Linked DNA regions of Macaca mulatta. The protein of the gene in region 2 purifies or fractionates together with the protein of the main gene of each other region. This does not show direct contact. Links are inferred from orthologs where the notes say so. Each region holds a gene or a part of one and is shown on either strand. Other genes may lie near its edges. The genes, in order: LARP7 and H1-4.

Region 1 (3,816 bases), on a different chromosome or scaffold from region 2:
AAACCCATAGAAGGACAAATTAGCCTAGTAATCACATGGGCAAGTCACAGACAGCTGTAACCACCATCACAGCTCAGTTTTTGTTTCAGCAAAATGTAAGTAACTACTAACTGGATTAATGCAGGGATTGATTTTATGATTTTGATGATCATAAATGATGAATTTGTAATTGATATAGTTACCATTTAAATAATAAAAGTTATTTAATGAGTGATTACAAATAACTGAGTAATTTTTTTTATTAAATGTTTTGCAATCTGATTAACCAGAGCGGTATTTACATCCCTCAATTTTCAGCTGTCTCCTGAAATGCAAGTTGGTAATAGCAATTTGGATTTGGCCAAATCCTTCACCAATATTGGAAAGAGAATCAAAATTTGTTTCTTAGTGACAGCTATAGGATTGTAGGACAGCATTTCAGATAAGGAGTGCTTACAGATAAACAACCACCTCAATGATATTCAAGTTAAAACCTGTGACTGATGAGTCTATGTGAAACCAAAACAATATACTAAGTGATGATGAATGTCAGTATAAGAAAATACTTAAAATATGTGGTATGTTACAGAGCATTTCACACTTTTTAAAAAGAAAAGGATTGACTTAAATGGGTCACAGGCAGGGTAAGGGTAAATAAGATACGGTACTCTCACATAAAAGTATATACTTACTTTTCCCTAATAGAAAGAAGTATTGCTACCAGTGTGGTATAAAAGGCTATAGAAGATAGACTGTACAAAACGAAAAAAAGATTATAAACCTGTGTGTACAGCAATTTGTAGCGTAAATTATATAGAACTATGGGTTTTTTGGCACATGTGTGAAAGATTTCTATAGGTCTTCAAAAATATTTTACACTTTTCTATAATTACAATTTTAAAGATAATCAGCACATAGGTAATACAAAAAAATAAATCCGTGCCAATAAAAATAAGCAAAAGTTACAATTTTCCTATAAAGAAGGATGTTTAAACTGTGCTTACTATAAAATGGACTCAGTGAAGAATTTCAGTCTCTAGTTTTTGCTTCAAAATTAAACCTAAGAGTTACCATGGAATTAAAACTGTACAGGTAGTTTACCATAGAGATACAAATTCTAATTTGATTTATCTTCCATATTCAAAACATTATCACACAGGGAAGTTAAGACAAGAAAGGAACAAATACCCTACGGGCTCAAAATCATTACCCGGACTTGTTTCCTGCCAGGTAGAGGCTCTGTGCTAATGATCTTCACAATCACTCCACTCACGAACTGTGGTCCTGTTGCATTAACTTTCTCCTGGGTGGGACACTCTTCACTGTTGGCTGTTGATTAGAAGAGGAAAAAGACCAGCACTAAATCTCTTACACTTAACAATTTAATACTTGGGAGGACTATCTTAGAATAATTCCTGAGGCAGATTTAAATAATTTAAAACGTATTTAATTTTAAAATAAAGTTTATTTTATATGTCATACTGCTTATTTCAAAATACCATGAAATAAAATCCAGAAAGGTTTATTATTCTACATGCAAACTGTTACTGCTAGAAGAGCACTGGTAGTCTTTAAGTTTGCCCCTTCTCCCTGCACAAAGGAACAGCAAATTTTAACTCAATAAAGTTAAAAAAAAATTATAGGATACTGTTTTAAATAATTATTCCAACGTGAGCATCATTTATTTTTACAAGAAATGATAATTTAAGATGTATCCTAATTTTGAATTCGTAAGAATTTTGCTTTAACTTATTCCTGCTTGTGGTTCATACTACAGAATGAAATTACAGGTGAGAACTACAATCTTCATTCCTACAAACTTGTTCAGTCTACAAACTGCACTCATGTGCTTAAATGAAAACTGTAGAGAAAACTCAGGTTATTTAAAAAATTGTTTTAAATGAGCCTTTTAAATGTTCTTATATCAAGAGTAAATAACATATCTGGATAACTTAACAAATCAAGAATTGTTCTAATAATGACACAGAATAATCAAGTTTTTTAAAATTAAAGTTTATCTTGTAACAACTCAGAGATAGCATTTTCATACATAAGTACATTATAAGTCAAAACTGTACATTATAAGTCAAAACTATCAGTGATCTTTACTTTTTTCATTTTTCATTCCAGTCTTTTGAGGTACTCCACCGTCTGTTTCCATTTCTGACTCTGATTTTATTTGGGATATTGTTTTTTTTAAAGAAGCCATGCTAGCTTTTTGTAGCGCTAAATACTCTTTTTTCAAATCCATCCATTCGCTCCTGCAAGGAAAGAAATGAAATAGTGATTATAGACGACTAAATATAAAAAAAAATATTAAAATATAAAAAGTAAATATGGGAATATCTAAATATATACATTCACAATGACTTGGAGTAACTCCTCCACCCAACTTTCTTGTTTCTTTAAACACATATTCAAAATATTTCCTGGGTTCTAAAGACATTTAGCAAATAAGCTAAGGGAGTTCCTCTTCCCCCAATATTCAGATTAAACGTTTTAAGATTGCCAATTACATTTTTGAGTGTGTCTGAAGTATTTTAATTTATAAAAGTAACATTTTAGCATTGATTCCTTAACTAGTAACATTTACTAAATCAGTCATCTCTGTGGGAAAAGCCCGAGATTAAAGATTTGTTAAACTGCTTCCAATTTGAGAGATAACATTCCTTAGTATTTACTTGAATCAAAAAGAATTTCTAAGTAGAACAAAACACCCCATGGAAGCATTCTATTTATTTACATATATTTAACATGTAGATGTTTCTTCAAACAGCTAGAGTTCCTCCAGATAGAAACACAATGCCTCTCTTGGCTTAGTGGGAGCACTCATTGTTACCCTAATCTATGCCATCAAACAAGCAGATAGATTTTCCTTTTTTTTTTTTAAAGAGGAAGATATCTTGTGGTAATGGTTTTAGCTGTTAACATTGACATCTGTATACTTCCAAAAAAAAAAAAAAAAAAAAAAAAGGATCCAGACCCACCCAGGATCATACATTCCCCAAGAGCTGATACATTAAAATAACAAAAGGCCCTTGTAATGATTCTCTGAGATAAAAAGGCAAAAGGAATTCAGGAGTTAAGAATAGTATAAATAGAAGTGGCTGAAGTCCCTGCCTTTTACCCTTCTGGAGGAGGACAGGAATCTTTGGGAACTAATTCAGGAAGGTAAGGAAATATTTTTCTTCAAAAGGTATGCCATTTTGTTTTCTTTCTCCTCAGCTTTAACTACTCTCAAGTCCCAAAGAAGTTGTATGTGGGTGGGCTCCCTTCAACTTTAACATGGAAGTGCTTTCTGTGACTTTAAAATAAGTAAGTGCTTCCATGTTTTAGTAGGAGTGAATCCAACTTACTTCTCCAAAATAGAACATGCTAACTTCACTCTCCTTAAGAGGTTGAAGGGATCCCCTTTGCTTTAACATGGGGGTACCTGCTGTGTGAAACAAAAGTAAGTGCTTCCATGTTTCAGTGGAGGTGTCTCCAAGTCAGCACACCTTTTGTTAATTTTTTTTGTTACTGTGTTTCAAGCTTACTAAGCTTGTTACAGGTTAAAGGATTCTAAGTTTGTCCAAGACTGGGCTTCCCACCACTTAAACGTGGATGTACTTGCTTTGAAACTAAAGAAGTAAGTGCTTCCATGTTTTGGTGATGGTAAGTCTTCCTTTTACATTTTTATAAGGTTTTTAGAAAAGGATTTTATTCTCGTTTATTTAAGCTTTATTTTGTATTTTTAAGTCTGTTAAGGTGCCCCCTCTACTTTAACATGGAGGCACTTGCTGTGGTAAGACAAAAATAAGTGCTTCCATGTTTGAGTGTGGTGGTTCCTACTTAATC
Region 2 (4,482 bases):
AGTTTTCTTTCCCTTTCTACCTTATCCAGTCCTAGGTACTAAGGGGCATCTAGGAAAGGGTAAATTGTACTGCAAAGGGGGCTTCAGTCCTGCGGTAACTATTGCCTACCTGCAGTCAGACACCTTAATGACTATTTGGGTTTCTGCCATTACCTAGTGAACTTTTAACCTGAAAGCTGCCAAAAGAAAACTATAAATTAAATAGCTTTCTGAAAAAGACGGTTTAGCAAAATAATTTTAAGGTGTCTCAGAAGTTGCTTCTTTTTTCCTGCACCTCAGCGCCTAGGATCCGCCTTTTCCTCCCCTACTCGCCTAAGAGCTTCAGAGAGAAACTGGCCCAATTACAAAGCAAACCAGAAACCTTTGTAATACTTCCGTGTTCAGCTCACATTGTCTTCAGCCTTTACTTGCAGTTATCACGTATCTGCATGGTAAAAATTTTACAAGAAAACGGGGGGCGGGGGTGATGGTGGAGAAAGCTCCAAACAGAAGGAAGTTGCAAAAGGGTGCTCTTTTGTGTTCAGGGTGGGCCGTCACCACACGAAGTCCCAGATCAACATCACGATCAACTTGGAAATCTGCACACGGAAACGAAAGAGCTGTACACTTACAGTACTTTCAGTTTATGTTAGTGTTATCTGACACTAAATGAGCTAATGATCTAGTATGTGCCCATAGCACTCAACTTCTGGTACCTATTGTTACTACCTATAATTTCCAAGTATTTCCTCTGCAGTACTAACATAACATTAAAGATTGGTAGTATGGTGCTGAGAAATCCAATAATCCCCCTTTTGAATGAAATTACAACTCATTTACTGAAAACATGCGTGGCTCTTAAAAGAGCCTTTGGGATTAGGTGTAAAGATGCTTACTTGGCAAAGTTACTTGGAACTGGTGTACTTGGTGACGGCCTTGGTGCCCTCCGACACGGCGTGCTTGGCCAGCTCCCCCGGAAGCAGCAGGCGCACGGCCGTCTGGATCTCCCTGGAAGTGATGGTCGAGCGCTTGTTGTAGTGCGCCAGGCGGGAAGCCTCGCCGGCGATGCGCTCGAAGATGTCGTTGACGAAGGAATTCATGATCCCCATAGCCTTGGAAGAGATGCCGGTGTCGGGGTGGACCTGCTTCAGCACCTTGTACACATACACGGAATAGCTCTCTTTGCGGCTGCGCTTGCGCTTCTTCCCGTCCTTCTTCTGCGCCTTAGTCACCGCCTTCTTGGAGCCCTTCTTTGGGGCAGGAGCAGACTTGGTAGGCTCAGGCATAGCAACGTTAATAATTACAACACTGTCGCAAACACCTGAGAAAATAATCACTCCCACCGATGCCCCGTTCATTTATAGATGCGGTATTCAAATGAGGTTAATCAGATTTCGTTTATGATTGGATTAATTTTTGTGTGTCGTCACAAATGCCAATGTAAACGACACTTAAAAGTCTACCTTTTCATTGGCTATTTCATTACTTTACTTTTACCCAATCAGAAAGCCCAGACCAGACTACCCGAGGCTACTATAAATAGTCGTCTTTAGACAAGTCAGCTGTGCACTTCTCTTGGAGCAGTTGTTTTTGAGATCACACTTTTTATTAGCGTTGTGGTGTCAGAACGTATACTGAAAGATACTTTAGGAGAGCTCACGTTCTCTTTTCTTCCTCTAACAAATTATAGGACTCGTTGCATACAGAAGTCATGGTAATTGGGATATCCCTGGAAGTCTGGCAGTTTTGCGTTTGGGAAGTCATCTATGCAAATGCTACATTTAAGGACCAAGTATTTTCTGCAGTGTCAATTTCTAATTTTTAGTTGTGGCAGTGGTTGAAATAGTGTACTATGCCACCTGTGTCGAGACGTACTCCTCTGCACTCCTTCATTGCTTGCCATAGTCTGTAGGGAGCCAGCACGGAAATTGAGTGTTCTCTATTCGGAACTCATACGTCCCAGCCTAGAAGCCCGCGAAAATCCCGACTTTTTTTCCCATGCTATTTGCAGGCCAGATCTCGCTAAGTGTTAAGTACTACGGAGGTCGAAATGGGTTTTAACTCCAGTATTCGAAAACGCAATAAAAGCTCAATGACGCGGCTGCACTCCTGCTTGGCCGACGGAACGCGAAATGACCCCCTGGCCAAAAACGGCTCCTCTCTCCCGACTTTGTTCCCGGGAGACCCGCCCCTCAATAGCGGCGTTTTCCCGGCCACACCCCCTGATAGTGTAACAGCTCTTTTACTGAAAGCGGTGGGTGGCTCTGAAAAGAGCCTTTGGGTTGTGTTGAGCTTCTAAGCAGTTGGCCAAAGGAACTTCCTACTTTTTCTTGGCTGCCGCCTTCTTTGGCTTGGCTGCCTTGGGCTTGGCGGTCTTTGGTTTAGCCGCCTTGGGTTTCACTGCTTTGGCCTTCGCTGGGCTCTTGGGCGCTTTTTTTGGCTTGGCTGCTTTAGCCTTTTTCGGGCTTTTCGCTTTTTTGGCTCCAGCAGCCGCAGCCGGCTTCTTCGCCTTCTTTGGGGTCTTCTTGGCGCTCTTCTTAGGGGTGGCTGCCCCCGTCGCCTTCTTGGGCTTCTTCGCCGCTCCTGTAGGCTTCTTGGCTTTGGCCGCGCCTGCCTTTTTAGCTTTAGGCTTGGCTTCCCCGGAGGCCGCCTTCTTGTTGAGTTTGAAAGAACCCGATGCGCCGGTGCCCTTGGTCTGCACCAGAGTGCCCTTGCTCACCAGGCTCTTGAGACCCAGCTTGATGCGGCTGTTGTTCTTCTCCACGTCATAGCCAGCGGCTGCCAGCGCTTTCTTGAGAGCGGCCAAAGATACACCGCTGCGCTCCTTGGAGGCGGCAACAGCCTTAGTAATGAGCTCGGACACGGGGGGCCCAGACGCTTTGCGCTTAGCCGCACCTGCGGACTTGCGAGCCTTCTTCTTCACGGGTGTTTTCTCGGCTGGGGCCGGAGCAGCGGGCGCGGCAGGCGCAGTCTCGGACATGTTGAAGGCAGGCGTGAGAGAGAGAGCAATTCGAGCCGGAAGCAGAGGCACTGGCCGGGACTCGGGCCGCGGCGCTGCGCCCGCCCGTTTATATAGGGCGGAGCTGCGCCGTGATTGGTGCGCTGTCCAGCCCGCCTCGCTGGCAGCCGCAGAGTGTCCTCTCGGATCCCGAGTTGTGTTTGTTACACCTCAAAAAAAGCCAAAAATATAAAAATTGTCTGCACCGAACTACCCGGTTTTTCTCAGATAATGATCCCCGAACCCTCAGGCTTCACGCAGATCTCAAATTATGAGGAAAGCACAAAGCCTTGTGCCAAAAACTTGCAATATTTCCCGCCGTGCTTGGCAAATTTCAACTCAGAGAAACAAAACTTTCTATTTTCTTCGTAAATTATAAACCGATCTTTAACTGTGGAGTTTTCTGACCTCTCAAATATGATTCTCCAAGTGGTTAGCTTCTGATATATCCAAAAAGCATGCCACTGGCATTAAGATTTTTATTACAAATCTGCACTTAAGTGAGGGAAGTAACACAGGCTCCTCGGAGAGTCCTGCCTATTGAGCCGAGGGCATTTGAGTTCATCAAACTGGTTTAGTTTAATGCTAAACAAATTATTCCTCATTTGACATTAAGTTTTGGACCCCTGGGACATCAATCTATGCAGCCGTGGTTTTACATCTGTCCGCTATATCTGAGTTTTAAAACAATTCCTTTGGATAATTCTTTCCCTTTCTGCTCCCAAGGGTTGGGGGCGGGGCTGTTGCTTCTCTCTTCTCTGGACAACTGCTCCATGGATTGAGATACCTTGAATTCAGGGTATTTGGGAACGAAGGGAAGTCCAAAATATACTCAGGGTACAGAGTTGAAAAAAGATTAATTTTCGAATGTGATGTTCATAAAGTCACTGGAAGTGGAGGTGCACTTTTCTTTAAAGCATTTGTCTGCAGCCTTGCTGAGTGCTTTTGGCATATGCTTCAGAACCAAATTGCAATAAAGTAGCTTAGAGCTGGAATTCAAACATTGATAATAAGGGAAAATAAATAAGAACTGTATATTGAAACATATGTACTCCCATTATTAGAGAAGCCCAGCCGCTATTATTACTGAATAGTTGAGGAATGACTAGTCCACTCACCATGTATGGTTTCAATCCCCCTGAAGACTGTATCCCAACGCTTCGCAGAGCGCAATAGAAAGAAAAATAAGTGACATGTAGTGATTAAATGACAAGTTCAAATTTCGATCTCAGAAGCAGAGCTTTGAGAGTCTATCTAAGCTATTATAAATCATTGCCCTCTGAAAACATCCTTTGAACAATGTCTGAGTAAATCTCTTTAGGTAGTTGCCCAACCAAGAAGAGTGTATGTAGGTTGGCAATGAAAGCCCAACTAAAAGAATTATTTCTGAATAACGGTATGGCTGGAACAGTATGGGTGGAACTACAAGCCACTTATCATGGAAACAAAATAAAATTTTGCCCAATGCTATAAGTTGATATGATACTGTTCTGTGGACGTGGCTG

What was found.
Region 1: the proteins of H1-4 (region 2) and LARP7 purify together in Homo sapiens (affinity purification with mass spectrometry; 3 studies listed by BioGRID and IntAct, with this or other methods). This does not show direct contact. The link is inferred for Macaca mulatta from reciprocal best matches to the Homo sapiens genes H1-4 and LARP7.

The regions. Positions count from the first base shown.
Region 1 is NC_133410.1:121,876,793-121,880,608, reverse strand, and holds part of LARP7 (la-related protein 7), read right to left. Parts: intron 3,801-3,816; exon of another isoform or gene 3,733-3,800; intron 3,635-3,732; exon of another isoform or gene 3,566-3,634; intron 3,458-3,565; exon of another isoform or gene 3,390-3,457; intron 3,323-3,389; exon of another isoform or gene 3,247-3,322; intron 2,241-3,246; coding exon 2,089-2,240; intron 1,309-2,088; coding exon 1,190-1,308; intron 1-1,189. UniProt on the Homo sapiens protein: RNA-binding protein that specifically binds distinct small nuclear RNA (snRNAs) and regulates their processing and function.
Region 2 is NC_133409.1:156,952,338-156,956,819, forward strand, and holds the start of H1-4 (histone H1.4), read right to left. Parts: upstream 3,023-4,482; 5' UTR 2,960-3,022; coding exon 2,300-2,959; 3' UTR 1,266-2,299; coding exon of another isoform or gene 885-1,265; 3' UTR 876-884; intron 579-875; 3' UTR 1-578. Other genes in the region: H2BC5 (histone H2B type 1-D), read right to left, coding at 885-1,265. UniProt on the Homo sapiens protein: Histone H1 protein binds to linker DNA between nucleosomes forming the macromolecular structure known as the chromatin fiber. Histones H1 are necessary for the condensation of nucleosome chains into higher-order structured fibers.